Linked DNA regions of Oreochromis niloticus. The protein of the gene in region 2 interacts with the protein of the main gene of each other region in a pairwise test. Links are inferred from orthologs where the notes say so. Each region holds a gene or a part of one and is shown on either strand. Other genes may lie near its edges. The genes, in order: prkab2, creb3l1, tmem11 and fxyd6.

Region 1 (7,741 bases), on a different chromosome or scaffold from region 2:
CCTCGCCTCTGTCAGTGCACCCCAGGGTGGTTGTGGCTACAACGTAGCTTGCCATCACCAGTGTGTGAATGTGTGTGTGAATGGGTGAATGACTGGATATGTAAAGCGCTTTGGGGTCCTTAGGGACTAGAAAAGCGCTATACAAATACAGGCCATTTACCATTTACCATGCTGCGGTAACATGTCCTCTCCACGCAAACCAACCAAATTTGACCTCCTTTGTATTTTTTATGCATTGCTTCTCTCTTAGGTATTAAAGACTCGGTTGACCCTTAGGAAAACTGGCCAGTATGCAGGAATGTTTGATTGTGCCAAGAAGATCCTGAGGAAGGAGGGCGTCAAAGCTTTCTACAAGGGCTACGTACCAAACTTACTGGGCATCCTTCCCTACGCTGGAATAGACCTGGCTGTTTATGAGGTATGCTGGCTTTGTGACGCATGGAGATTTCACAATGGATTGCACTTTAGTTAATTAGCTCATTTATATGCACACTTAACCAATCCATCGTGCAGAGTTACATTAAATTAAATGAGAGAAATTTTTGTGTTATGCTGATTTTGCACATTACCTCAATTTTCCCTTCTCTTGTCATAACTCTCCAGACTCTAAAGAACACTTGGTTGGCACATTACGCCACTGACTCAGCCAACCCTGGAGTGCTGGTGTTGCTGGGCTGTGGGACCATCTCTAGTACCTGTGGCCAGCTGGCAAGCTATCCACTCGCACTTGTGCGCACTCGGATGCAAGCACAAGGTAAACACAGCCTGATATTTGAAAACAGTAATGACATAACTAGGTAGCCCCTTCGTTACATAATAATAGCATAATATTTTTCAAGGTGGGCGGGATGCATGTGATGGTGTAAAGGTTCTGTAAATGTGATCCATGTTTTCTGTAAATATATACTTGTGTTACAGCCCACGTAATGTCAAGGGGCTCCATCTGAAAAAGGGCATTCCTCTTTAACGTTGTTCACTTTGAGATGAAAGTTGTTTTTTGAATGTAACATTTAGACAGGGTCATGGTCTCACAAACTGACAAATCAGTGTTATATGAGTAAAGAGACTAATAGACAAAAATGTTGGCTGTTATGGACCACTACATTCATTGGCCACTTTATTAGTTACATATTGCTATTATCAGGTTGGATTCTTCTTGGCATAGATTCAGCAAGGTGCTGGAAAAATTCCTCAGAGACAATCCTTGGTTCATACTGGCATCCACGATGTGACTCTCCACTTAGATTGAGATCTGGTGATTGTGGAGGCCATTTGAGGAACAGTGAACTCATTGTCATGTTCAAAATCTCAGTTTGAGATGGTCTGAGTTTTGTGATAATGGGGTTTTATCCTGTTGGAATTAACCATCAGAAGATGGTACACTATGGTCATAAAGGGATGGACATGATTAGCAACAATACTAAGGTAGGCTTTTGTGCCTAAACAATGCTCAATTGGTACTAAAGGACCCCACGTGTGCTAAAAAAAAGTATCTCTTCTACCATTACACTACCAGCAGCCTGAACTGTTTGATACAAGACAGGATGGATCCATGCTTACATGTTATCTAACATCAACAAGGCATTTTCACCAAGAGAACTGGCACTCACTGGATGTTTTCGCTTTTTCAGACTATTCTCTGAAAATCTATTCTAACCCTAGAGATGACTGTGTGGGAAAATTCCAGCAGATCAATAGTTTCTGAAATGCTCAGACCAGCCTGTCTGACAAAAACAACCATCCACGATCAAAGTCACTTAAACGATTCTCAGTTTGAACTGACCATGACTACACGTCTAAATACGTTGAGTTGCTGTTATGTGACTGGCTGATTACATATTTGCATTAAGTCAGTTGAGCAGATGTACCTAACAAAGTGGCCAGTGAGTTTATTTTTTGCTTTTTAATTGGTTCTCTAACATAGCTTATATTTCTTTACAGCATCTCTGGAACCATCAAACCAGCCTTCTATGAGTTCTCTGATGAAGAAGATTGTAGCCAAAGATGGTGTTTTTGGACTCTACCGGGGCATCCTGCCGAACTTCATGAAAGTCATTCCTGCAGTCAGCATTAGCTACGTCGTTTATGAGTATATGAAGAGTGGCTTAGGGATCTCCAAATGATACTGCAAAAAAAAAAGAAAAAGTTTACTTTATATGTCAGACTTGAAAATGCCTGAAATAACTCCAAAAAGACAGATGGCGATCAACCATACAGTGCATGTTTTAAGAGCCGTCTGCCAGTAGTTAATTAATAATTTGTGGTATGCATGGTCAAATTTTTTTTTCTTACTGTAAAACATACCATTCTTCCTGCATTTACTTGCGTTATTTACACACAAAAAGACAGTTCTGGAAAAACACTAAAACGTGTTAAGTGTAATGGCTCGTTTCATTTATGCCACGGATATTCCTTTAAACTGTGATGAAACAAATACGTGACATAGCGTTGTGCGTTTCCTTTGTTTGAAAGATGACGCTATGTCAGCTGAACTTTTCACATGTCTATGCACTGTATACATGATTTTGTAAACACCTGCCCTAAGTGACAGCGGTTCCAAACAAACCATTCTCCAATCAGCAGCTGTCCACTAAAAATAGCTGGCTTGGACAAACGAATACTTGTTAACACTGGAACAGTGTGTGAATGAAGACACACATCTTGTGCAATGTGAAAACCACTGATCTCTCTGTTTGATAACGATTGAAATGTGCCTTATCTGGGTGTAAATCTGATGATAACATCAGAAGATGTGTTTTATAACTATACATATTACTGTATATATGTTTCCAGTTATGCTTATTTATGGGATTCAACGATGAAAAATACTTGCAAGAAGCATGTGTTTGTCATGTTTCAATCCTCATTTCAACCTAGTACATACGCACAACACATTCCTGCTACAGTTAACATTCATTCATTTGTTTCATTCTCTTTCACACAGCCAAGTGGATGGAGTTTAGATGTAGCATGCATGATAACAATCTTCTGTGTTTAGTTTATGTGGCATTTTCTGAGCTTGAAACTAGTCTTGATTTATTAGCTGGTGAAACTTGGTCCTTCCAGGGAGGCTTGAATGCTGATATTGCCTCCTCAGTAATGTAAGGATCACTGGTTGGAAAATCGGTCTGATGTGTTGAAATCTTTGCCAAGTGGTCAATAAAGACAAAACCTGTGGATTTGTTTCCACACAGAACTTAAACTTTGTGTTGGTGTCAGTAAGGATATTGAACTTCCATCCGGTTAGCATCTATGAAGAAGGAGATGAAACGGAAATACAAAAACTGAAAACATTTTTGCATCAGCTTTGTATTTTTGATTGAAATTTCTGTGTGCATTTTTTTCTATAACAAATTAAATCCTCCAAAATTAGGAGGGAAGGGAAAACATGTTTACAGTTGAATTTTGGATTCTTGCTAATCCACACAGCTTTAAAAATATGCATACAAGCCTGAAGATGTACATGTACTCACTTAAATCTTTAATAAGTGATGCTGAAGGTTCTACAATGACGTTGAACTTGGCATGGTCAAAACCTGTTAAGTTCTTGTTAGTGATCATGATTAACTACAACTGGTAAAAAGGATTTGTTTTTCAACACTCACTGGATTGATCAATACTCTGATCAATACTCTGAACAACGGGAACGTTTAAAGAACTCAGGAAAGAGCTTAGAAGGAGAATTGTAGATTTACACAAGTTGGAAAGGTCTCTTGGAACCACGTCTAAACAGCTGCAGATTTCTAAACAATTGCAGGTCCAGATATCTGGTTCCTTGTACAAGTTGTTTGGATGTGTCATCCATTTGCCAAAGTTTAGAAGAAGACCCAAATTGTCACTGTCAGATGAGAGGAAAATGGTTAGGATGTTCAGGAACCACCAAGGCTCAATCCTGCCACGAACTTAAACTCCTGGAACACAGTCATGTCCACATTGAAGTGAGTTTACATCACCAAGGACTGAGAGAAGCCCCTGCTCCATAATCCATATTTTCAAGCTCAAATGAAACTGCCCACATGGACAAGTTAAATGCCTGCTGGAGAAAAAAAATCTCTCATTTGTGACATTTTTGACAACACCTGTATATACAGTGATTAGCCACAACATTAAAACCTAGTGAGCAGGCTTCCCTAATGCCAACAAAACAGCTCTGACCATCAACATATCCCCAAGTAAACAACTTGGGGATATGTTAATACCCCAGGATTTTTGGAAGCTGGGTCCTCAGGGGGTATAGACATACTATACAAACCACATTTATTATTAAACGTTTGATAGTAGGCATCATAAATAATAATAAAAGTAATAATAATAATAAAACAATTTAAAAAAAAACATTCCTTTGAAAAGATTGGACTGAAAATAAGTGAAAAAGCATGTCAAAAAAAATTAAACTGAAACATCTTCAGAAAACCTGGGGAACTGCTGCTGAAGAACACTGTAAAAAATTACTATAAAGTCTGGCTCCTTGGAAGGGAAATATAAATAGGTGAGAGATGATTTGCACAATGCTGTATATTCACTGGGATCACATTACATGCTTATTACTTACTATGTTTATTTAACTATGCAGTCAGTCGTAAAATACTATTTATTTTACTTTAGTTCCTTGCGGGTGTCTCTTAACCTTCTTTATTTTGTGGCCAGGCTGTTTTTGTGACAGATGTTTCCTTGCTGGTGACCGCGACCTTCAGCCTTTTTTTTTCGCTTATTTGAACAGTTTTTGTCTTAACCGGTTTCCGTAGTCGGGGCAGCACTGAGCTCTCTGCAGTTGTTGTGGAGAGGTGGGCCCGCCCTCTGCTAAAACACAAACTGAAGTCAGTGTGCAGATAGGTGGAGGGTGTCGGTGAGTTTTTCCTGTCTGTCAAAACCTAATGGTGAAAAACTAGTGTTTGTTGCGGCGCAGGTAAACAGAGCAAACAGCTTGGTCGTTTGTTTGTAGACAGTGACAGCTAGCAGTTAGCTAACTTTAACTCCCAACAGCGGCTAAAAATATTCTCCTGCGAAGTGACCTGAGGTGGACACAGCTGAACAGCTGGTGGGGAAACTACGGTAGGTTTCAGTCAGCAAGCTGTACGAGTACTCATGATTAATTACTAATGGCAAAATTGTGTATCTATGTATGTGTGTATGTTATTTTAAGGTCTGTAGTTAAAACTTGTTGATTTGGCGCTAGCTTAGCTAGTGGGCGTTAACTAACGGAGACTTTCTTACTACGTTATGTCTGAAAGCATGATTGTATTTACGTTAAGCGGTTTTTGATTCAAGTCCAGACACACGGCCAGAAGGCAGTCCCTGTTTCACCTGTCTGGCTTTATCCGTCTACCGACCGGTAAGCCAGTTAGCCCTACTGGAAAGGCGTTTAGCTTTTTTGCCTGAGTCAGGCTGCTGCTCATCGTGTTACGATGGTGTTTGTCATGCTAAACAAATAGTTTCATATAACAGGTTCAGTTTGTATTTAAACATATATCACAAGAGCTTGTGGTCAGCCTCAGCTTCTTTCTGTGATGTATTGTCTTGTTGGATAAATGGAGTTCGACTATGGTGTGTATTCAAGACATCTTCATTGTCATATCCTGTTTTTAATGTGTTGTCAGTAGCATCTAGAGGTTTGTATTGATGCAGATCTCTTAAATTTTATATATAGATAGATAGATAGATATAGATACATATATACATATGTGTGTGTGTGTGTGTGTATAGTATGTATATATATGTATATAGATATAGATATATATATATATATATATATATATATATATATATATATATATTCAGCCTTTTTTCCATATATATATATACATATATATATAAAATGAAAAGTTTCTAAGACATTAAAAACTGGATTAAAAAAATATATATATATTTTTCTACTGACTGATTGTAATAACACAAAAAAGCTCATAACAAATATAAAAAAGAAATACTGACCATCAGTAAAATGTTTAACATGGAATAAAATTAAAAATGAACTTAAAAAATAACAATACTAAGCTGTAAAATGATAGATTAAAAGGTTTTAGTTACATTTTTAGTCAAATTTTAAAAAGAGAAAGTACCGTCACTTTTTAGCTGTTTGTTGAACAGCTAAAAATGAAGAACCAGAAAACCTGGGGGGGTCTTCGTGCTTCATAAACAAACTTTCATCCTTATCAGATGTATAAAATTTATAATGGGGAAAAAACAGGAGATTACCACGAACTATTAAGATGTCTAGTGCTGATCTGATGCCTACAGTCTGTTTGTCTCTTCAAGTCTTTTTCTTGCTTCTGAAAGATCTTGCTTTATGCTTAAACACATAATGGATTGTCCTTTATTTCCAGTGGCACTGCAAAAAAGTGAAGCACCATGGGCAACACAAGTGACAGAGTGGCCGGAGATCGACATGGCGCCAAGGCCCATCGCACAGACAGCGGCAGCGGTTCCAAAGACCAAGAACCCAGCAGCAAGATGGTGGACAGCACAGATGACCCCAACACCTTCAACACACATGGACCTGAATCGAAGGTACGCATAGATAAATACAGATTATAATATAGAAACAAATTTGTCGTCCTCAGATTTGAAAGCATTATTTGGTCAAAACAGCTTATATTTGAGATTCATATGTTTACTACTTTCAGGCATCAGGAGAGAAAGAATTCACCCCAGATTTGGATGATCTGGTTAAAACTGGTCCTCAGGCTCGCCCCACTGTGATCCGCTGGGCCGGAGGTGGGAAGGAGGTCTACATAGCTGGTTCTTTTAATAACTGGAACACAAAGATACCACTAAATAAAAGGTAAACAGGAAGTTGATAACGGTACGTTATCATGTTCATTATCTAGTAATGAACATAATGACCACAGTAAAGCTGTGGTCATTATGTAGCTTGAGAGTTTGTAAATAAATGTTTCTGATATCGCACTAATACATTCTCCTCCTCTCTCCTAAGCCATAATGATTTTGTGGCAATTCTGGACCTGCCCGAAGGAGAGCACCAGTACAAGTTTTTTGTAGATGGACAGTGGGTGCATGATCCATCAGAGGTACAGTAGCTTCATTTTTTTCCCCCATTAACTTATTAATGCACACTGCATTTGGGATGATGCAGAGACCTCTGATAGTACAAAAAGGAAGGGACACATTCCTTTGTGGAAATTTAGGATTTAAATTTCATCAATCTTATATTGTGTTATCCTCACAAAATGTGGACAGTGAAACCTCAGAGGGACTGTAAAGCTTTGAAAAGCCCTTCTATTTGGTGAAAGCCGCTAAATAGCTCTTTAGCCTTAGGGAAAGATGTGCAGGAAACTGCTAATTTTACACATGCTTCCTCATTTCCTCTGTGATGATTTCTCTCTCCTTTTTGGCAGCCGGTGGTAACCAGCCAGATGGGAACTATCAACAACTTGATCCATGTGAAAAAGTCTGACTTTGAGGTGTTTGACGCCCTTCAGGTCGACTCTTTGGAGTGCTCCGACACGTCAGGTCAGCCTGCTCTGTTATTGAGTTATTTAGTCAACTAAAGGTAATCACCTTGTGTAAATAGTAACTGGAAAGTGCCTTGTCATATTGCAGCATGCCTTTCCTGACCTTGCACTAACAGTCCCAGCAATTTATGTCTTAATACAGCTCCCAGGAAAGGAGTTGAATAATAAACGCCGAAATACATACAACAATAAAGAATACAGCTTTTTTATTGTTGTTGTTGTTAGTGGTTAATTGGTCAGTAGCTGCATAGAGTAAAGTATGTATGTGA
Region 2 (7,427 bases):
TATGAGTTGCTGGCAGGTGGTAATTTGGTGCTCTCTACGCATGATCAAAGCATCTGTTCAGGTTTAACAGTAGCCAAAGGACACTCCCGTTTTACCGTGCCTCTTGTGTTTTAAAGTGATTCACGCTTAATGCTTATGTGTGTCTTAATTTTGTTTCTTGTTTCTATTTAGTAGTCATCGGACGAAGAGCTGACAAGGGTTTCTTGTACAAACACCTTATGTTTGGAAATTTGAGGAATTTGCTTGCGTCATGATCGCATTATATGAGTTCAAAATGACAAATCAATAAAACTCCACGTCTGTGCTCATATTTGGTCGCACTCTGCTCTTTGTCAGGCCCGGCAAATTCATTTCACGGGCAGTAATTTGCAGTAAATTGTCCCATTAGTAATGGCTGACAATCGATTTTTGTTTTGTCTTGCTGCCCACACCTATTTCTTTTACCCACTGGCTATTAAAAGCTATATACTGTAAAAAGGTAAATAAAAAGCAGAACAGAAAATGTTTAAACCCCTACTGGACTGGACCACAGTGCACAGCCTATTAAAAACCAAAGAGCTGAGGTATCCCAAGCAGTAAGCCTTCCAGCTTTTAACACATTGTTAAAAACTTGTTCATTGTGGTAATAAATGCCACTTAAAAAATATATATATATATAAAAACAGAGCTCTCTGCTCAACTCTGCACAAACCACAATCTCAAACAGTTCTGTACATAAACATAGAAGAATCATAATTTTTATTTTAAAAGAGGCTAAAAAGACAGCAAGTAACATGAAAGACTTGTTAACTGCAACTAAGTTGGTGGAGACTAAAATGGAGCCAAAAAGGAGTAAATATGCAATTTCCTACTATGGCTAGTAGGAAAGCAAAAAAAACAACAAAAAAAACAACAACAAAAAAAGCACATTACTGTGGGTTTAAACAAGAACTCATTTATTACAGAAAAGCAATAGAGTCATATACACCTGAAAAAAAGCTAAATAAATAAAAGGAAAAATGAACCAATGGCATGCAGAACTCTCAGCTCAGATTGCAGACTTGGGAGAGACTGAAACTTCGGTTAATCAGCCATCCTTTCCCATGTCCTCTGTGGTGCAGCCCAGGAGTGGCTTCATAGCAGAGTGGACTACTTTATTTAGAACAGTGTTGTGGGGTTTTAAACCACGAGCAGACTGCTCGGCTGACTCACCGACTAGAATAGAGGTCTGCCTAAAAAACCTGCGGTGTTCAAAAAAAGAAAAGCGGGGATGACACAAAGTGGAAAAAGAGACTGAGTGAATGAAGGGAAACAAAGACAAAAGATGCTGCTCTTAACAGAGTCTGCCCTCTGTGGTTTGCAGCAATTAAGTCCCTAAAGGGAAGGGTGCAGGAACTCTCTGGAGCACAGCGCACCTTCAGTGTACTTGGCGAGGATGAATGTGTCCCGCCATGCTCACGGGCTTTTATCGATCCTCTCATCACTATTAACTCTGACTGTGTTGTGCAGAACCAGAAACACGAGCTCGGCTGCCAGCGTTAAACAGACAATTTCCACATAACAACGATTCACTATTCATGGAGCAATTTGAACCCTTGATTCTTTATCAAATCCTTGCTTCCTGTCGCAGCACTTTTGCTACATCAAGAAATCTACTGTTGGTGCTACTGATGAACAACCATGATTCTGCACAACCACATCCTGTTGTTTGTTATAGTGACAGATGAGGTGTCTCTGCAAGGATGGGGATGTGCTCAGAGCACTGAGGGAAACAGGTGCCGTTGGACTCGCAGGTGGACGGGGGCTTAAGTCGCCATGAGTGACGATGACCAGCCCCAATCCTAACCCCAATGTTTCTGAGAAGCAAAAAATGTTTCTTTTTAAAAAAAATCAGAAAGATTCATTTTCCATCCTCTGATTGCCAAAAAATTAAATAAATAAAATAACAATACAAATAAAAAATACAGTGATAGCACAGAATTAGGGTTAGGGTTATCACTGATGACTCCACAGGGTTAAAAGGGATCTGTGAGAGATTGGAAATCTGTCTTTTTATGCAACCCTGAGATTATAAGATTATTTTGCAACAGAATGAAGCCATCAAGAGATAAATACAACAATAATTAGGTAGATTACAATAAAGGAGGGATTAGACTGTATATATAAATATATATATTAAGACTGTATTTTCTTTTTTTCTTTATAAGATGATTCAGATTTAATGAAATAAAAACACTTGAGAGTGTAGTGAAAGAGTTAGTACACTGACACACACAGTCACACAAACTAAATTAATAGTTAGGTGTGCTGGTGAATGCTGCAACATCTGCCAGCTGAACACACACACACGCAAGTTAACCAGTAACACCCCAGCCTGTGTGTGTTCCCGATCTTTCAAACACATTAGTTTACACAATTAAACACACACACACCCCTACACACGTACACACAAGGGGTTATGAGCACAGGTTACGAGCCCCGGATGTCTGTCAGGATCTAACAGCTACACCGCCCTCCTGAGGTCCGGCTCCGGGCGGAACAGGCAGTGTAGGTGCGTTTGATTTTATCGTAGATGGCAAAAAAAAAAAGAAAGAAAGAACGATAGAAAGAGAAAGAGCACTAAGAGTTTGCGTTAATAAAAATGTAATTAAAAAAAAGCCTCACCACATTAGTGAGAAAATCTCCGTCGCTGAGTTCCTCCAGGTCCAACAGGTTGGTCCCTCCGGACGGATAGAGTTTCTCCGCTGTTAAACTGTCTAAGATAGAGTCCATCATGACTGCCTGCGTCTGTCTGCACCTCACCGGACGGATGGACAGCTGTGCGTCAGACCATTAAAGTCAGACCATTAAAAAGCGGGCAGTTTGTTTTCACACGGCCTCGCACCGCCTGTGTGTGACTCCAGCTGCTGCTGCTGCTCTCTCTCACTGTCAGCGCTGACAAATGTCAAATTTTCACATCCTCCTCCAGTTGCCTGTCGCTGAGACGTCGGCGCTTCTTCCAGCTCTCTCCTCGCGTGCGCCGCCTCAGCCACTCGCCGATGAATATTCAGAGAAGCCCCGCCCACGTGACGTCCAAAAAAGAAAACGCCCACAAAACAAAGTTGTAGTCGCTTATTCGCTCATTAACAAAAAGGAAGAAAAGAAGAAGACCCATTTAGGGCTTTAGATCAGGGGTGTCAAACATAAGGTCTGGGGTCCAGGAGTGGCCCCACACAGACTCCAATCTGGCCCACTGGATGGCTGCAGAAGATGTGAAAGTTTTACTACTACATACTACACCACAGTAATTAAGTACTTATACATATATATACACATAGTTCTGTTCCTCTTCACCATCTACACTGCAGACATCTCCCACAACTCCACCCAGTGCTTCCTGCAGAAGTTCTCTGATGACTCTGCAATAGTCGGCCTCATCACTGATGGGGACGACAGGGAGTACAGAGAACTTACCCATGACTTTGTGGACTGGTGCCAGCAGAACTACCTCCAGATCAACACTAGTAAAACCAAGGAGCTGGTGGTAGACTTCCGCAGGCACAAACATCCTCCACTGCAACCACTAAACATTCAAGCTCTGGACATTGAGGCTGTGGACAGCTACAGGTACCTTGGTGTTTATCTGAACAATAAACTGGACTGGACTCATAATTCAGACGCCCTCTACAGAAAAAGGCAGAGCAGGCTGTACCTGCTGTGGAGACTCAGGTCTTTTGGAGTGAAGGGCCCACTCCTGAAGACCTTCTATGACTCTGTGGTGGCCTCAGCCATCTTTTACAGTGCAGTCTGCTGGGGCGGCAGCATCTCTGCCGGGGATAGGAAGAGACTGAACAGGCTGATCCGCAGGGCCAGCTCTGTTCTAGGATGCCCTCTGGACCCAGTGGAGGTCGTGAGTGACAGGAGAATGGTGGCTAAGCTGTCATCCCTGTTGGACAACATCTCCCACCCCATGCAGGAGACTCTGACAGCACTGAGCAGCTCCTTCAGTGGCAGACTGCGGCACCCACGGTGTGTGTCGGAGAGATTTCGCAGGTCTTTCTTCCCCACTGCTGTCAGACTCCACAACAAAGACAACTGACCAAACACACACATCCACACATGTGCAATAACACTAAGTGCAATACTCTTTTCTGGCATCGTTGTATTTTACTCAGTTGTATATAGCATTTGTATTCTATTTTATTCTATTGTATATAGTATTTTATTTTATTCTGTTCTATTGTGTACAGTTGTGTACATTATCTTATTCTTATCCTATTCCAGTGTTTTTCTAATTTTTGCTATGTAACTTTGCACTGTCCACTTTCTGCTGTAACAAACCAAATTTCCCACGTGTGGGACTAATAAAGGTTATCTTATCTTATATATATATATATATATATATATATATATATATATATATATATATATATATATATACATATATATATATATATATATATATATATATATGTATATATATATATATATATATATATATATAAATAAACCAAAAGTGATAGAAAAATTCCTGCTTTTTGACTAAATATTATCAAAATTTCTGGGGGATTTGGTTGTTTTTTATTTGTTTTGTTTTGTTTTGTTTTACAGTGGATTAACAGTGAAAATAAATAAAAACATGTAATTATGGATTTTTTTTTTGACAAAGTACAGAAACACACTAACTTATTATTTGAATTATTATTATTTTTTGTTCTGATTAAAAGTGATGCCCTGTCAGGAGTGTGTGGACTTCTACACAAGCTGATGGATGTTCTCCCTCACTTCTGCAAGTTTGGTTGCAAATCTACGTCATTCTTCTCCAGTAGAGGAGTTTGGTGACCTTATTGCTGTGCAAACCTCAACCTGAGCAGAGATCTGATCAGCTAAAGTGAAATCCTTTTCATTTTTTTTTTTGCACTAAATAGAATCTGTAATATTACCCAATTTTCATCTGAGTTATTATCCACTTATTTTAAGATCCGTGAAAGTTCTGTGAATACACGCAGCTACAGTATCAATAAACAAACAGTACACACAGTCCATGATCCACCTGCAGATATCTTTGAGCATGAAATACATGCAGAGATCCATGCCTATCCTTGAGAATGGGTATTTTTGTGGAGATGAAACTGGGAAAAAGACAAGTGACTATAAAGGCTGTTTTGACACCTCAAGATACTCCCTGCAGCTATTACACACACACACACACACACACACACACACACACACACACACACACACACACACGCACACACACACACACACAAAGTGGGAATGAAACAGATATTTCTCTTCACTCCACCATGATTGCTCAGGCTCGCCTGTCTCATTTCATCCCTCTCATTCTGTCCCAGATTGTTTCTCCTCTAAGACACAGATTGAAATACAGCATGGCAAGAGAAACCCTGTTCATCGTTTCAGAGGTGCAAACAATGTGTGTGTGCTGCAACTCCGACCTGTCCCATGATCTGGCTAGATTTTAAGTGAACTCGGCATGTCAGAAGGGCTTATCCATGAGTTTCATCACCTATTTTGTAGGATTAGTACCAGTAGTAGTAGTTGTTGTTATGGTTAGATGCCCTATGGACCGCTTGGTCATCCATGATTTAGATTCACCTAGAAATATCTCAAAACACCTTTTAGATTGGCATAACGATAAAGCCAACCAACGTTAGTGAAAGTGTTTTTGTGTGTGATGTCTCTACAGCTATTGTATGAATTGCGATGGTTGTTTTTAGGACAACCTTATAATAATGAATTTCAGTAGTCCATAAATGCATGAACTAGTTTTTACCATCACTCTGTGACAGGATGTTTCTAATTTTAGAGATATTGTCCAAATGCAAGAAAGCAGTGCTACACGTTTGTTTAATATCTGCATTGAAGGACATATCCTGGTTAAAAATGACTCCAAGATTCCCCACAGTATTACTGAGGGCCAAGGTAATGCCATCCAGAGTAAGCATCTGGTTACACACCATGGTTCTTAGACTTTTAGGCCTGAGTACAATAACCTCAGTTTTATCTGAATTTAGAAGCAGAAAATTAGAGGTCAACAAGTCTTTATGTCTTTAAGACATTCTTGCAGTTTAACTAATTGATATGAGTGTTATCTGGCTTCATGCATAGATAAAGCTGGGTATCATCTGTGAAAATGTAAACTATACCTTCTAATGTTACTGCCTAAGGGAAGCATGTATAGCGTAAATAGAATTGGGCCCGGCACAGAACCCTGTGGAATCCCATAATTAACATTAGTTTGTCATAAGTCTGTTAGAAAGATATGATTCATACTGTGGAGCAATACCTTTAATTCCTACAGCATGCTCTAATGTCTTTAATAAAATGTTATGGTCAATAGTACTGAGTGCTGTGCTGAGGTCAAGCAGGACAAGCACAGAGATGAGTCCACAGCCAGAGGCCATAAGAAGAATATTTGTAACCTTCACTAAAGCTGTTTCTGTGATGTGCTCTGAATTCTGGCTGAAACTCTTCAAACAAACCATCCCTCTTCTGACTCTCTTAAGATTTTTTGAGATTAAAGGAAATTTGGAGTTTGACCTATAATTAGCTAAGACAGCTGGGTCAAGTGATGTTTTTGTAAGTAATGGATCACTGGAATGGAATACTGACGCGTTTAAAGGCCTGTGGTATGCAGCCCATTAATTAGATAGATTGATCATATTTAAGACTGCAGCATTCGAAAATCCCATACCAATCTGAAACAAAATATGCCATTGAAACTGCAAACAAACAGAGCAGTATAATACAATACAATGTTTTTTGAGGGTACACCCCCCAGACCTCAAGTCAGATTTGGCACCTATCCACGCAGTGACTACTGCCTTATACGCATCAGCCTTTATAATTGATAGGAAGAGAAAGCTGAATATAACACGTCAGCAATTTAGTACATTTCCAGTGTCGTTTGGATTGTTTTTGAACCTAAACGAAGATTTGTCATTCATGAAAATGATAATTCACCAGAACTTCATGGGGCCCTGAGGATTATTAGCACAGATTTAGGACAGTGTTTAAATATGCTGTATTGTTCATATTGAGGTCATTGCAAAGGGTGTGGTGGAGGTTAAGAGACACATGCTCTTCAGAATGGACCACACTGATTATCATCAGGTATTTCTGTGTTTGTTTTATGTTCCATTTCAAACAATAGTTTGTTATGTAATGATCTCTTACTCTCCAGGCTTCTTTCACCTGACTCTGGTTTTCCTTTTTTTCCTGCTTTTTTCCTTATCTATAATTTCTTCCCTCTCTGCTCCCCTTCCTTATCCCTTCTCATTCTTCTTTTCTCCTTCCACATATCAGTTTACGGATGGTGTCCCACCCCAAGGTACAAGGTGTCTCTGTTTTTCTCTCTCTCTCACACACACTGGTGTTATATAACTGTGGTGACCTTTCGTTTACTCGAGCAGGGCCCTTTTAAACCTACAAATACCTAATTCACA
Region 3 (7,774 bases), on a different chromosome or scaffold from region 2:
TTCTTAAATCCTCTTCAGAGTGCACTCATACCACATAGAGTTCGTAGATCTTCTTGGCGCAATACGCCAGGGCAGCCAGTGCTATCGTATTATGGAGTCTCTTTCTGTGGATGTCATCCCTGCGTACCAATACCACGGGCGTCGAGGAGGTCAGTGTATGCAGGGGCAGCCGCGAGAGTTTTTGGCTGTCGTATTCCACCTGGTACTTGCAGCAGGGGTCAAACTGCCACGAAATCCCATAGAGGGCGGCACAGGCCACGCTGAGGGCGCCAGCGGGCAACGCCACATAGCGCGTGTACTCAACAGGCAGCGAAAGTGGCGTCAGGAGGCAAGCAGCACCCGACAACACGGCTGTCTTGTGCAGGCAGTTGCCAACAGTAATCCAACGGGCCGTCTCGTCTCCGATCCGCGTGGGCTCGATAACAATGTATTTATACTGGGCCTCCAGCGCCTGCTCCAGCTCATACTCAAACTGGTCCTGTGCATTCTCCCCATTGTAGATCTCGTGCACGATGTAGCAGTCTGACGCCGCCATCACACCCCTGTGCAGAAACACAGGAACAGACAGGGAACAGTGAGTGTAAGAACAGATGACATTAAACACACATTAATTAAGCGAAGACTGTATTTCCCCATTTCCTGCCTGCTGAAATGTCCACTCTGTCACCATCTAACAAACATAAAAGGGAAGGATATTTCTCTAACCAATAACCAGAGGCTCATTCACCCACTTCTAACACTGTTTTAAGTCGATAACAGGAGTGTAAGTGTGGATTTTGGGAAGCAATACCAATGTTTAAAATATCCCAGTTTCAGCTTGAAATTGCTTGCCAACAGCTTCACAACAGCTACAATGCCAACCATAAGTCTGCATGAAGGACTCATTGGACTGGCTGCCCCCCCCCCTGCAGTAATAATCATAAAACAAAACACACACACAAAAACAAAAAGCAGGGGGTGAATTTAATATTTGTTGTACTTTATTTAATTAAACGTATGTCTTCATATCCATGACTTTCTGAAAGTAAGATATGTAGTGTAATTAGTAGGGCTGGGTACTGAATGCTTTTTTGAAGGCACCAACCAAAATATTTTGGTACTAATGAACTGATTGATTGCTCAATCAGCACCAAATTTTAGTACCAGACTATGTCTGAAATACAGTTTGATTGATTTAGGCTTCTGTGTTAAGACCGTAGGTACGTCGTAGTGTACTCCTCTGAAACCCTAATCTCTATCCTGATGTGCACCTTCCTGGAAATTTAACTACATGTTATGTCTATAAAAGCCTCAATATAAGGACACAAAGTTGGCAGGCAAATTCCTGGAGGGAGATTGCTTAGAGAACGTACAGAAGAAATGTAAAACCTTTCAGGACCAATATACTTGCCTTTGAAATCAACTGACCACAGCAAAGGAGGAAAAGAAGTCTCAGAACGTTATTTGTTTCTATCATGGCTGCCTTTGCATCTAAAACTCCAGGACACAACTGCACAGAAGGTGTTGGCAATAGCGTTGGCCACCTACCTACATAGGCAACGTAAGCTTTACAAAGATTCACTGCAAAAGTCTAAATCGGATGTTGGAGTAAGAATGAGAGCAAGACCATGTGGCTGAAAGCAGTCTTACGTGTGGTTACGCTTTTCGTAATTCCACGCAGAGAACGCAAAATGCACAGACAGCCATGGGAACACTTTTAATCCAATGACATACAACATATATCTGACAGCTGAAAGCTGGATTCAGCAGACCTGCAGCTAACTTTAGCACATTTGTCCCCAATGCATAAGATGTTGAATGCCATTATCTTCTTCTAGTAATTAATTAGGCAGCTGGACAAACTGTTGTCAGAGAAACTGTACTTTTATTCACTGTTTTGGTTGATGTTTTAGTCGGGACTTTTACACTGACGGCACTAAAGTTTCACCACGTTGAACTGACTATGACAGTGAGATTAGATGAGGTGTGCAAAATGTTGTGAATAAATAACAAAATGTTTCAATCAAAAGTGTGGACTTTTTTTGTAAGTGAAATTCTTGAATTTACGATTTCAAAAGAAGTAAAAGACCAAAAAAAAAACAAAAAACAAAAAAACCCCCACAACCTACCACCCAACCGTTGTAAGTAGGGATCATAACATCATAATGGTGTCCCAACAGCACACAGATCTTAACATGTGTATGACCACATTTAAAAACACAGACTTTGGGGGGGGGCTGCTTTCCATAAAGTCCCAATTATCCAATGCCAAAAGTACCAAATGGTTACAATATAAGGCCTTCTTTTGGACCAACAAACAAACCTTAAAACGCTAAACACTATGCTTCTCACACCGGAGGTGTGAATTTTTATGACATATTAAGATACTAGGGAAAATTGGCTGAGCCTCGCGGAGCAAGGGGAAAGTTGTACTTCAGTTAGGTGCATTAGTCAACTCGCTTGACTGGCAGAAAGTTGGAGTACCGGCCAGCTAAGTTACTGAGCGAGCAGGTCGACAAACACGGCGGTCAACACGCCGAGCCGAGCCAATACCGTGAAGCACATCGACAGTCACATACAGCACTGCCGTTTGCCCCAACAAGCAGCAAAACCAAACTTTTCCCGGTCAATCGCTTGCTGTGAAATAATCAAAACATCACATGAGCTGCTCGTTAGCGACAGCTAGCCGTGTACGTTAGCCCGCTAACATGAGCTAACCCTGGGTTAAAAAAAAATCCAGACTTCTCCCGTTGATATTTAACTCTGAATCCCAAACGGGAAGCACGTTCGGAACCTGACAAGTGGTGTCATCGACCAAACAATGCTTCATATTAAAACATGTTCTTTAAATGGCCAAGATGTGGAGTAACTGACCTCTCCCTGCTTACTGGGACACCGCGCCTCCTTCCCAGCGACGCCATGTTGGAGATACAACTGTGATTGCGGTTGACGTAAGACAGCGCCCAGTATTCTGGGTTTTGTAGTGTGTAAAAAAAATACAGTTTCTGTTCGACTCACCAGTTGAACTCGAATGCGGACTACTATTCCCATGATGCTGTTCGGACAGAGTACCTGCCTTTACGTATTTTATAATGGTACAGTTGGGGAGGTCAGAACACATTCTGAAAAGATTTAACAAACTGAATGAAGGTATGTTTATTTAAATTTGGCGAGCCATGAAGTTAGCACAGCAAAACTAAGCAGCAAAAATACCGGTTCCATTTACATATTTAAACCCATAATAATGCAAACAGGCTACATGCATAGTCAAGTTTGTTATAATATATGACACATTGTTCCGTCATCTCGTTTTGTAATAGGATTTATGTGGAGACCTTTGGGTACTCACCCATAATGTGTCCTCGCGTGCTCTGGCTGTGTTCGTGCGCGCTGCCTGTCCGCGTGCTGTAACCTGACGCGCGCTGGCTGTCACAACTATAATGGCTACGTTCAGGAATGTGAGATGGTTGGGAACAAATGCTGTGCCAGCACGAATCACATCAACCAAGGCTATTGACAGCTGTGGCTTTCCAATGATATTTAAGCCTGGTAATTTTAAGAATTTAGTGAGGAATTTTCTATTCAGATAAGGACTGTAAGCTATTTAAAGGTGCATTTTGTAGCTTTAAACACATGTAGACATGTTAAATAAATTGATGGATTTATCAATTTAAAAGAAGTCAAGAGAAAGAAAGTAGTTCCTGCCACAGAGTTTGAGTTATTAGCAAGTACCATGCTTTTTCAGTGTACCAATTACCTTTTTTGAATATATTTTTTTTTAATTAAATGTATTAGCTCAGTGACACCAACACCACCAGGAATAAACCAACATGCTCAACTTGAAGTTGTGAAACAGGACTTCTCAAACCAGTGGATGTGTCTGTCTTATACACAGTCCACGAGTTTTAACCCGCTAGCAATGGGGAGCATTTATATCTAATAACTTCAAATTGCCACTGGATGGCGCCAATACATACATATATACGTACAGATATTTGTCATCAGTAATCTAGAACATGAATCTACTCCATTAGTAGCTGTGATGTGTGGGACTGATAAAGATATTCAGTGGAGTGTAAAAATTCCACCTTTTCTTTAATTTTAGGTCTTACACGATTACTTTTACACTGTTCATCTACATGTTAGAAGATCAAGTATTTAAACAAATACAGCAGTCCTCATTCTGTATTTTGAAACTATTCTGCTACCTCGATTTTCTGCATGTACTCTGATTGAATACTAAGCGAAAGCCAATACCATTAACGTTCTGGTTTGCCAGTGTAAAAATAGCTTGGTTTAAGTATTAAAGGAGTTTCCATGCTGAAACTATTAACAGCACAAGACGAACTGCATTGTAGATAATTATTATCAGTGTATGACCACCGTAGTGATGACTGCACAGTGGTTATAAAAAGTATATTGTACATGATCACATGTTTTCTCCATAAATAATCACAAATGTTCCTCTGCTCCTGCCAACGTACATAAAGCATTAGTCATCTGATGTGTATTTGATTTATTTATGCATTTATTGACAGCAAGTACAGAAAAAAAAGTCCAAATCACAAAACAGTGTAATAAGGTTTGGATTTTGATGCCTCTGTGAGAGCCACTCGCTCAAATGAGACATTTGCTTCCTTCCAAGGAAACACACAAATTTAGACAAAACACACATACACAGAATGAAATAATACCTCGAATACCTTGGCCTATCCTTAGGTGTGTTCCACCCAAGGGGAAGTTTAACAAAAGGGAAATTCCTGCAATTAACTCGAGGTGAGCACAGCAGAAAGAATCTGCATTGTCCTGCCAGAGTGTGCCGAGTTACCTGAGGTATATTTTTCTCCTCAACACTTAAGATTGTCAACAGCAAAACCTCTTGAAAGAGTACAAAAAAAAAGGGGGGGGGGGGGGATATTTTATTTTTATTTTTAACAGAGATCTTTATCATTTTGATATCAGCTGGGCAGAAAAGCCTTGTGGGTAAGAGGAAATATGGATCAAATAACAAAACAGCCACAGCCACCCAGTGCATTTCCTCAATGACAGGACAAAGGGCCGTCTGACACCACAAAAATGTGAATGCCCTGAAAAGAACAGTGCTGTTTTTGTTGCTGGTTCGAACAGAGACATCTATACATACACACGCTGATGTGTCACACCACACCAGGACCCCGTTTATCAGCAATGCCTGTAACATTTAATGTACAATGGAAACAGCGAGAGTTATCTTGAGGCAGACATCGTCACCGTTTTCTACACCTTTGATCGCTCGGCGAATTGATATATGACTGGAATAACTTCATTTTTGTTATGTGGAAGAGGAATGAAAGTAGATGGAGTGATGTTTATAACAAGGCTCTGTGGGGAGGAATATTGGTAAAATTCAGATTCGGCTTTCCCACTTTGTCACTTACAAAAAAAATTTAGATTTGTGTTGTTGTTTTTAAGCCTTTTTGCATACAAAACCTTCTACACTAGCATATCAGTTCTGAGAAACATATTTTCTAAAAACTTGAGAAGAAGGGGTTAAATTGAATTATTTGCAAAGAATAGGAAAAAAAATGAAAAAGAGAGGTTGCAATTTACATAAAACAAAAAAGACACGAGTATTTGAGCATCAGTGGAGTCAAAGACAAAAACACCAGGGGTGGTCACCTCGTACTGCTGCTCATGACCAGTGAGTCCAGTTGAGGACAGAAATCTGCAACACACTGTAACATTTGACTCAAATCTGCTCTGTCAGTGTTGGGTCCTGGAAGTTTCTGTCTGAGGTAACAGGCTTCACCTTTGGTTGCTTTGTTTGTACAAGTCGTGATAGGCTGATTCCCCTCCTGCCTGTGGCCAGTGTGTATCCTCATGTTTATGCAGAGAGCTGTCTTATCGGTTGATCAAACGTTCAGCTCACAGGCGTCTATGGTTCGAGATTCAGCTATTTCTCTGGATTCAGTCAGTGTTGTGTTTAACCATGCCTAGAAGGTCCTTTGTCGCGTGTTCTCCTGTAACTCCAAAGCATGCCGCCACGCAGTATTTCTCTCCTTGGAGTCCATTTTGCCACCTTCCTTCACCGCCATGCAGGATCATTGGTAAATATGTTCAAAGTATTGAGGCTGAGGATTCTCTTTCACGTATTTCTGAATGTACCAGCAGGTCAGGTGAGCTTTCAGGTCCTCTTCCACCACAAAATCCATGGCTGCCTGCAATGACATGGTGCATAACAGCTCACATCAAAATCATCTGGCTTTTCCTAGGACAATGATTTAAGTGGAAACATATTCGATTCTCACTGTACCAGCTTAATATACCGGCCACTTTGTATGGTACACTTTTTCAGCTGCTCATAAATGCAAATATCTAATCAGCTAATCACATGGCAGAACCTCAAAAAGGAATGTAAACATGATCAAGGAAACCTCCTGAAATTCAAACCGCGCATGAGAATAGAGAAGAAAGGTTGATTTAAGAGACTCTGAATGTTCCTGGTGTCAAATGAGCTGATCTGAGATTTTCAAAAACAAGCTGATCTATGGGGATTTTCCCACACAGCCATCTTATGGGTTTACAGAGAATGGCAATAATCTAAGAGAAACTGGCTTGTGAGGAGAATGCACAGACTGTTTTAAGCTGAGCAGAAGACAATAGTTACAACTTAGATAACCAGTAATTAAAACTCAAGTATGAAGAAGACCGTCTCTGAATTAAGAACACGTCAAACCTTGAAGGAGAAGCGCTACAGCAGCAGAAGACCACACTACGTGCCACTGCTATCAGATAAGAACAGGAAACTGACGCTACTATTTGCACGGGCTCACAAAACTGGACAACAGAAGATTAGTAAAACATTGATGGTCTGATGAGAGTCTTAATCTCTGATGTGATATTGAGAAGGTAGGGTCAGAATTTTGTGTAAACATTATGAAAGGATGGCTCCGCCCTGCTTTACGTCAACAATTCAGCCTGATAGTGGTTTGATGGTGTAGAGGATATTTTCTTGGCACACTTTTGGCACCTTAATACCAACTGAGCATTGCCAGAGCCTACCTAAGCATTGTTTCGTAAACAAACACAAAATTTGGGTTTAAAAAATTACTTTGGCAAGGTGTTTGGCGATTCCTCTCCCTCTATAAGCATCTGGAACTTCGGTGTGCTGCAGGTCCACCGTCTTTTTTCCAACATACTCGTACAGAAGGACCGCACGATCATGGGATCCTAAGAGCAAACACAAATATTATCTCTGGCATAGGTTGGTCTTCACCTCAACTATTGCTAAGATTTACTAATTATCGATTACAAACATGACATAACAACCTGACAACATGACCAAAAAAAACAAACAAAGAACAGAAACCGCAGAAGCCTGCCACCCTGCACACTACAAGTTTTATCCCACAATTACTTCAACGTTTCAGCATTTTAAAGCTGACTCTAAGCGCCCCAGTTACATTATTAAGGTGTGGTAGCAGATTTTAATTTGCATGTAGCGCTGCAACATGGCTGCTGAGAAAGACAAGGCACGAGTGGCCAGGTACAGGCATGCCCTTGTGGAGGAAGGGTCGTGTTGCTGGGTGAAGAAAAGATAAACATCTCCATTCAGCACAACAATGGCTTCCACCATTTTCCTCTTAACAGCTGACCCACAACTGACCAGGACAAACACGAGTACTGACACACTTAAAACAGTAATATTAGTGTGTCGTAAAGGATTAATATCTATTAAAACGAAGGAGACTTAGTGTAAAACTTTAAAATATGTTTAAAGCACTTGAGCTGAACGCTTGAAAGGAAGTAGCACAGC
Region 4 (7,702 bases), on a different chromosome or scaffold from region 2:
TTGAAGGTGAGAAATTCCTTAGGTTTGAGTGTTTTATACATAACACTATATATAATCTAGTCAGTAGTGGAGTTTTTATACTTTGCTGCTTACTGTTTCTTTTGGGTTTCAGTCACTGTTCAGTTTAACAGTTTACTCAGTGTTAAGTAAGGTTTAGGCACTAAATAACTTGGTTATATTTAAGAAAATATCATGATTTGGTTTACAATATACTTGTATATAACATAAACCTGTAATCTACAAAGTCCTATCAACTGTCCCACAAAAGGATGAAGACAAAACATCCATACACGAGTATTAAAATATCAGCTTCATAGGTTTAGCTTAAAATTACTTACTTCTCGGACCAATATCCATGACCATCAGATGAATACAAAAATTATAATGACTTTTGTTAGAGTTCAATTTGGCTTCCTTCTGAAGTGTAGCACTTTTGACCTTGGGTGGGTCAGTGCCATATTTTTCCTGTGAGAATGAGTTAGAGATTTGGCACAATTGTACTTCCCCATATAATGTATAATCTGACTGTTTCTGCCAGCCTTTTTCTCCCTGTGCGTGAACATGACACCTGAGCGGTTGCCTTTCCATCTTTCCTCTGTCTAATCTGCAACATTGTTTGGTAATATCAAGTTCCTGAGCCAGGCTTTCTATTGTCTGAGAGTACAGAACTAGAAAAGGGCAGACGTGGTGATGATATCTGTTTGGAAAAGGCAACAACATTGAATGGAGGCTGTTTCCTGTAATGTTGGGACGAGGAAAGGGCAAGATGAAAGCCAGTGAGGCTGGGAGACAGGCTGACAGGGTTAGACATTGTCTGGTAGTACAGGTGAAGGGCATGCAGCAGAGACACTGTCTGAGGGGAGGGGACTTTGGTAGGGCAGCCTGTTGTACCGTAGTGACATTTACAGTATAACATGCACAGAGCTTTTTTAAAAAAAGGCCAAGGAGGGACAAAGCAATAACAGCAGTGAGATAGTGAAGTACACAAGGGCAGCAGAGTGCTCCAGAATCACAGAGACATGAAAAAAATAATGGTTTTCACCTTTGACACTATACTGCTTGGCAAATGTGTAACTCTAATGCAGGAGTTATGAAAAAAAAAACCCCAACAAGGTCATGAAGGAAAATCCATCCTAAAATGACAGTGTGTGACCACACCCCACTAACACCAACACTCAGTCAATTCAATTCAATTTAATTTATATTAGTGCCAAATCACAATAGCAGTTGCTTCAATGCGCTTTATATTGCAAGATAGAGACCCTACAATAATAGTATAGTAGTTCTATCAATAGCCTATCATGTACCAAATGAAACAGAGGTTAGGTGATATTTGAAATTATCACATGACAGATGTTTTCATTGTTGTTGGTGTTGTTTTTCCCCACTGGCTTGTCCTGTGTGCTTCAAAGTCAGGGAAGTGCAAATTCATGTAGATTTCATTTGCACATCAATTTGCACCTCCATGACTGATACCACACTATTTGCTTTGTAGATCTATTGGTATTTAGATAGCAGGCGTACCTTTTAACACAGTTTTAAAATACTGGCTGGGATAACTGGGCCATATCTTCCTGTTTCACTTCACACTTTGGAGTAGTGTCTGAAGGAAATTAGTTTGGGTGACTAATAACCCTGAGGCATTATCTAAACCCAATAAATCCAACTAAATATGAAAAGAGCCCTATATATTAACATCAATACAATGTGGGGCAGCTTACTGGGTTGTACAATACATGAATCCAAAAAACAAAACAAAACAAACAAAACAAAAAGCCTTGACCTCTATATCTGCCATTATAATGATGTTACACCACTATGACAGCCATCGTAATTTAGTGTCCAGTTATCGCCATGGTAACTGTCTCCAACTGACAATTGTGGCGCCGAAAGAGAAATGGGTTAAAGCAGAGACAACACTGACTCCACTTAAACAGGAATAAGGGGTGTGGCACGCATCTTTAGGGTCGAAATCTCTGGCCTGCACTGAGACCATTTCTAAGATAACTGATTTATGAATAAATAAATAAATATATAACGAGCGTGACCGTACGTTCAGCGGCTGTTTTCAGATAAAGTCGCCTGTCGGGGACAAAGGGAGACCTCAATCACACACACTGATAACCTCCCCATTACTCGTGACGATCCATCAAGGATCTGAGCCAAATTACGCGTTGTTTGGTTTGACTGAGAGTCTCATAAAACAACAACAAAAAACACCTTGCACAATATGCCTCAATATCCGATGCGTGACGTCTTCGCATCGATCCACTTTTGCGTCTCTCAACCTGTGGATCATCTGCTGATTAAGAAAACCCGAGCCATCATCCGCCTGGTGATTTTCCTTTTCACTGAAACAGCTAAACAGCAGCGTCATAACAAACGAGTTATTTTTACTTGGTAATGACAAGTGGATTAATCACGGTTTTTACCCCGTTTTTGCAATATCTGCGTAACCAGCGATTAGTGCCAACAGACACACCCTCGTGGTACATGTTCGCGTGGTAAATAACAAGCAGCCTTGAAAATGCCATCTCGATTAGTTATTGTGACCATGTACACCAGACAAGTGGGACATTAAAAATAATAATAATAATAAATTACACCACACGTTTGCGTAAAATAATCCCACAAAGAAGTTTGCACGAAAGACACAATTTATGCACACTGGAGAGGCATTATGAATAAAATTGCCTTGCCTTACAGTCTTATTGCACCCATATTCTTTTTAGACCACTGGATCCCTTTTTGTTTTTATATGAATAACACAATCAAATATGTCGCTTATTAACTTACCTTTTGTTTCTCCAGCGGACCGTTCGTTAACAAACTGATATCCACCCGCAAAAATCAATCAGTTTGTCTCACAAGGACTCTGCTTCAAGTATTCTCATCTGTCAATATGTGCAACCTGCTCATATGTACTTCCCCTGGAAAAATAGATGTGATGACGACAACAGTGTGACTCCTGGAGTGACTGCTTATTTAGTGCGTGGAATCGTCCCTGCCGCTCCCTCTTTCTGCATCTCTCCCTCTCTCACACACCAGGCACGCTCACCACAGACCCTCCTGCCCACAAAATCATTAAACACCACAATAAAGGGGAGTGGGTGGTTCCTTCTTTATCTGATATATGTTGTGTATGTTATTCGCACGATCCTTCACAAACTTATGACATGAACATAACAAAGAATACAATCAAGAACAATTTCAAGAAAAATCCCAACGTGAGTAGTGGCTTAAGTGCACTGCTTAGTGACTGAGTCAAGTGTTACGGTGCTTATACTTCACAAAGGTAATGCACAAAATGTCTTGATTTTAATATGGTACACAAAAGTTAGAATTGTGTTCCTGAGAGAGAGAGAAAAACACCTTCATAATAATTAATCATACATAATTATACACAGTCATACATTAATCAACCACAAACTGATTAAGGACATCTCAGTAGAGTGCTGAAAGCGTTTCATGGAATTACAACACATGATATAAAAAAATCATCTGCTTTTAAAGCTCACTTAAATTAAAGGTAAGCTTTAGTACACGCACAAAAGAATAAAATCAAAATTAAAAGAGTGAAGTCAGTGCATTGATTAGCTTGTATACATGTGGGTAGTGTAAAATATATTCAATCCATGTGACCTGAGATGAGTATAGATGATGAGCACAACATTAATGAATGTATGTGGTCATTTTTGTCATCCTGCTACTCCCTCAAGACAACTTCATAGTGACTTCATTCGGAGGAAAACACCAGCAGGAGGCAGAGTGATGTCAAACCATAGCTCTCTGCAAGAGGCAAAGGAGGAGTTAACATAGAGAAAGCCTTCCCCTTCTAGTTTTTAATTATTTTTTTTCCTTTCTCTCTTACATGCATGCTTGTGTAGATCCAGGGCAGAACACTGCTGACTCTGGTGTAAACCCCGGGTTTGTTTTTTTCACCACAGCCAGCTCCCCAGCTCGTAATCCCCACCAGGTAAAAGCGATTCTCTCCCTGGCACACCAGAGGTCCACCACTGTCACCCTGGAAAAATATATTATACTTGGTTAGCACAAATGTTACTTCAAAGGTTGCTAGATGGTCAAATCTATGCATATGATTTCTGTTAAACTGTTCCTTAATACTGACTGCTCACCTGACAGGAGTCTTTGCCTCCGTTGAGTTTCCCAGCACAGAGCATATAATTGGTCACTAGACCTCCATAAACATCACGACTGTTACACACTTGTGTATCAATGATGTCCACACTCACTTCCATCAGATCCTTCGAGGCAACACCTTTAAAAAAATGAAAAAAACAGGTCATTGTTTCCTTTACATGGCAATGTTAATACCCCATAATAGTAGCTTGATGTAAATATTACACATTACTGTGAGGTGCACCGTCTCAGCAACAGAAACTGTGCCTTCTTTGTTTTCCTCATTTGTCTTCAGTTTTTATGATTAATGATGTCCCAGTCCTTTGTTTATTGATTGAGAGTTGTCACCCGCCCATCAGCCATTAACATTTCTTTTTCAAGCATATTTTTCATTAGATGATTATATAGACAACAGATGCTAGTTACTTCCTCATTCCCGTCATTTCATTGTTGTTGATTTCTTGTAATCCTTTCCCATTCTTTCTCAGCTTGCAGATTTGTTATTTTAATTTTCAGTTGATCATTTTTATTACATCAGCAATGTTAAATAGTTTGCCTTTTGCTTATGAGTGACTTCCGTCTGGTCATTCTACCTTACAGGCCTGACTGGTGTAGTGCTGCAGAAATGGTTGTCCTTCTAAAAGGTTCTCCTGTCTCCACAGAGCAAAGATGGAGCTCTGTCAGATTGATCATTGGGTTCTTGATCTCCTCCCTAACTAAGGCCTTTCTTCCCCAACACCTCAGATTGGCCAGATAGAGTCCTGATGGTTTCAGACTTCTTTCATTTGTGGATGATGGAGGCCACTATGCTCACTGTGACCTTTAATGCTGCACCTTTCCCCAGATCCCCAGTTGTATTTTTGTTTGTATCTGTCAATGCGTTGGGTGGGTCCTATCTTCCTTCAATTTAAGGCATTAGTTTTAGTGACTAAAATGGCTAAAAGTCCTTCATAGACCAAACCTAAACTTTTAAAGCTTTATGTACAATAAAACAATCAAACACTGCTGGAAACAACAGGGCTTAAACATGCAATGCAGATGTACACAGGCAGTGTCATGGTCCTGGGTCGAGCGACCCAGTGTTTGAGTTTATGTATCTTTTGTATTCTTTTGTGCCTTAGCTTAGTTCACCTTATTTATTTCTAGATTGCAATTTAGTCTTGTTCCCTTATGTCATCTCCCCCTGCACTCAGTCTCCCTGGTTTCTGCGTCTACGTTTCTTGTCTATGCAGTTATGTTAAGTTCATGTCATGTTTTATCTCCATGTCTAATCTCCATGTTTCCTGTTTTACTTTGAAAGTCTATATTCAATGTCAGTGTATTTAGTTTCACTTCTCCTGTCCTGTCGTTAGGTTCATGTGTGTCAGCTGTGCTCCCATGTGTGGCCACTTCCCCTGATCATCCCTCATGTGTATTTAGTCTCTGTGTTTCATGCAGCCTGTCGCGTCGTCTGTGTTTCCACCCTCCATGTTGTCACAGCCAGTCTCTGTATCTATAGTTATGGTTTCCTGTGTCTTCATAGCTTTTCCTAGTACCATTTTCCCAGTTTAGTTATAGTTTAGTTTATCACTGCGTTTCTGCCTTGTTCGCACTTCTTGTCACCAGCCACAATAAAGGCTCGCTTTCAGTTAAGTTTACTCCAGCCTACTCTCGTGTGTTCGCACCTGGGTCCACACACACACACCGCACGGTCTGCCTCCTCAGATCGTGACAGGCAGACTATATTCCCCAACACATGAGAATGGAAATCATGGCATCTCAGTAAAATAAATTACATTCATAAATGACTAAAACTCTGCCATTTGCTAGATTTCTAGTATACTTAACATTTTTACATTTCTGCTTACCTGAACTAGCCTGTGTGGTGCCAAAACCCGAGGTCCAGCACTGAGTTCCTTGCACAAAGTTCTGGTTATATGCTGGCAGACAAGCGGGCTGAACTTTATCTGGTTAACACAAGAATATGTATTTAAACTTCTGCCAACACATCAGCCACCTTGTATGCTCAAAAGGATAGTGTTGTAGATAGATCTGTACATACACGGTAAAACAACTGCACTATGTATGGCAGATTAACAGTTTGACTGTGAACTCACAGGCTTTAAAAGCTCAGACTGAGCAGGAAAGGAAATACTTTCATTGCTGTTACTATTCTGCATACTTTTTAGTGTCCTGTTTTTGTTGATAATCTACATAATCTACTGTAGACTATATAAAGTACAGAGTAAGAGAAATCATTATTTGATCACCTGCTGAATTTGGGGAAAAAAAACGTATAACTTTTCTGTGATGTAAGTTTTTTCCCTAGATTTTTAGTTGTTATTGTGTCTCTCCTCATTGAAATAAACCTACCATAAAAAATTAAGACTGTTCCTTTCTTTGTGCAAATTCAGCAAACTCTACATAGTGCTCCTAACACAGGTTCCATCATCGAAGGTTTTCTGTGCTGAATATTTTCATGGAGGAAGCAATTAAATCCTTCACACGCTCTGCTTTCCAACATGATGCCCACATATATGCTTATACATGCTTACAGCTATCAAGGTTGGAGGACTACACACATTTTTTTAAAGAATGTAAAGATGCAACTGACCATTGAAAGTGACTGGGGATGTAAGTTTGAGAAGAACAACATCTTGGTCATTAGTTTTAGTGTCATAGTTCTCATTGACTATTATCTTCTCAACAAGGTACGGAGCAGGCAGATTGTTCAGGGACACCGTTCCACCGTATACTCTCCAGTTCTGAGGGGATAGAGCCGCAGAGATGTCTCTGAAACCCCGAAAGACACTCCTCAATGGACAGCAACAGATTGATGTAGATTTCAGCACAGAATAATGGGCATTATGATTTTTAAAATGCATGTTTTTGCATTGTTAACTGCAGCTGGACCTTAAAGTATCTACAATCACAATGTACAGACTCTAGGAATCAGAGAGTTTACTAAGGTAGACTGTGGTCAATTTAAGGGGGTGTGAAAAAAATTACAAGGGTATGTTTGTTTTAATTTTTTTGTTTTTTGTTTTTGTTGGTTACCTTGGGAAACAGTGGGCAGCAGAAAGCACAAAATCAGGGGAGATCAGGACTCCTCCGCAGACATGGGATCCTCTGAACTGTAGCGACAACTGCCAAGGCCAATTACCCATTTTAGCTACGGTGCCACCGATGATCCGGGATGTGGCCTGCTGCTTACCACAATCTGGACAACAATGCAAGGTACCATGCAAAAGAAAGAAAGGGAAACAAAACTATTTTCAGCATATAGTTTTATCCTTGATGAGTGCAGAAAAAATACATTGTATCTGCCAGCGTTGCTGCTCCAGTGCTGTTAAATCTTAAAGCGATCTTCACAGGAGTCATAATGTTTTATGTTATCAAGGTCACGGTCACCTAACAAAACACCTTGTGGCCATAATTTAAGAACTCTTTGAGTAATTTTCACACAGTTTTAAACAAGTCTTAAGATTTTATGAGGTCATTTTTTTGGCCAGTTAAGTAGCAGAGGGGTTTTCTTAACTGCTCTGATGAGGTCATAACGTCCGCTATTGGCCCTGTGCTCACT

What was found.
Region 1: the proteins of creb3l1 (region 2) and prkab2 interact in binary tests that used the Homo sapiens proteins (3 or more experiments, as listed by UniProt). The link is inferred for Oreochromis niloticus from reciprocal best matches to the Homo sapiens genes CREB3L1 and PRKAB2.
Region 3: the proteins of creb3l1 (region 2) and tmem11 interact in binary tests that used the Homo sapiens proteins (3 or more experiments, as listed by UniProt). The two-hybrid records come from large-scale screens. The link is inferred for Oreochromis niloticus from reciprocal best matches to the Homo sapiens genes CREB3L1 and TMEM11.
Region 4: the proteins of creb3l1 (region 2) and fxyd6 interact in binary tests that used the Homo sapiens proteins (3 or more experiments, as listed by UniProt). The two-hybrid records come from large-scale screens. The link is inferred for Oreochromis niloticus from reciprocal best matches to the Homo sapiens genes CREB3L1 and FXYD6.

Annotation. Positions count from the first base shown.
Region 1 is NC_031982.2:13,490,084-13,497,824, reverse strand, and holds the start of prkab2 (5'-AMP-activated protein kinase subunit beta-2), read left to right. Parts: upstream 1-4,727; 5' UTR 4,728-4,846; exon of another isoform or gene 4,847-5,052; intron 5,053-6,323; 5' UTR 6,324-6,348; coding exon 6,349-6,507; intron 6,508-6,623; coding exon 6,624-6,781; intron 6,782-6,934; coding exon 6,935-7,028; intron 7,029-7,355; coding exon 7,356-7,470; intron 7,471-7,741. Other genes in the region: calcium-binding mitochondrial carrier protein SCaMC-1, read left to right, coding at 251-418, 604-754, 1,942-2,123. UniProt on the Homo sapiens protein: Non-catalytic subunit of AMP-activated protein kinase (AMPK), an energy sensor protein kinase that plays a key role in regulating cellular energy metabolism.
Region 2 is NC_031986.2:12,843,823-12,851,249, forward strand, and holds the start of creb3l1 (cyclic AMP-responsive element-binding protein 3-like protein 1), read right to left. Parts: upstream 3,012-7,427; 5' UTR 2,755-3,011; coding exon 2,644-2,754; intron 1-2,643.
Region 3 is NC_031969.2:14,159,495-14,167,268, forward strand, and holds the start of tmem11 (transmembrane protein 11, mitochondrial), read right to left. Parts: upstream 3,011-7,774; 5' UTR 2,901-3,010; coding exon 2,854-2,900; intron 543-2,853; coding exon 26-542; 3' UTR 1-25. Other genes in the region: protein NATD1, read right to left, coding at 6,060-6,176, 7,070-7,188. UniProt on the Homo sapiens protein: Plays a role in mitochondrial morphogenesis.
Region 4 is NC_031979.2:21,611,538-21,619,239, reverse strand, and holds the start of fxyd6 (FXYD domain-containing ion transport regulator 6), read right to left. Parts: upstream 3,020-7,702; 5' UTR 2,797-3,019; intron 1-2,796. Other genes in the region: tmprss13a (transmembrane protease serine 13a), read right to left, coding at 3,775-3,789, 3,872-4,024, 4,137-4,279, 5,988-6,086, 6,734-6,912, 7,177-7,339. UniProt on the Homo sapiens protein: Associates with and regulates the activity of the sodium/potassium-transporting ATPase (NKA) which catalyzes the hydrolysis of ATP coupled with the exchange of Na(+) and K(+) ions across the plasma membrane.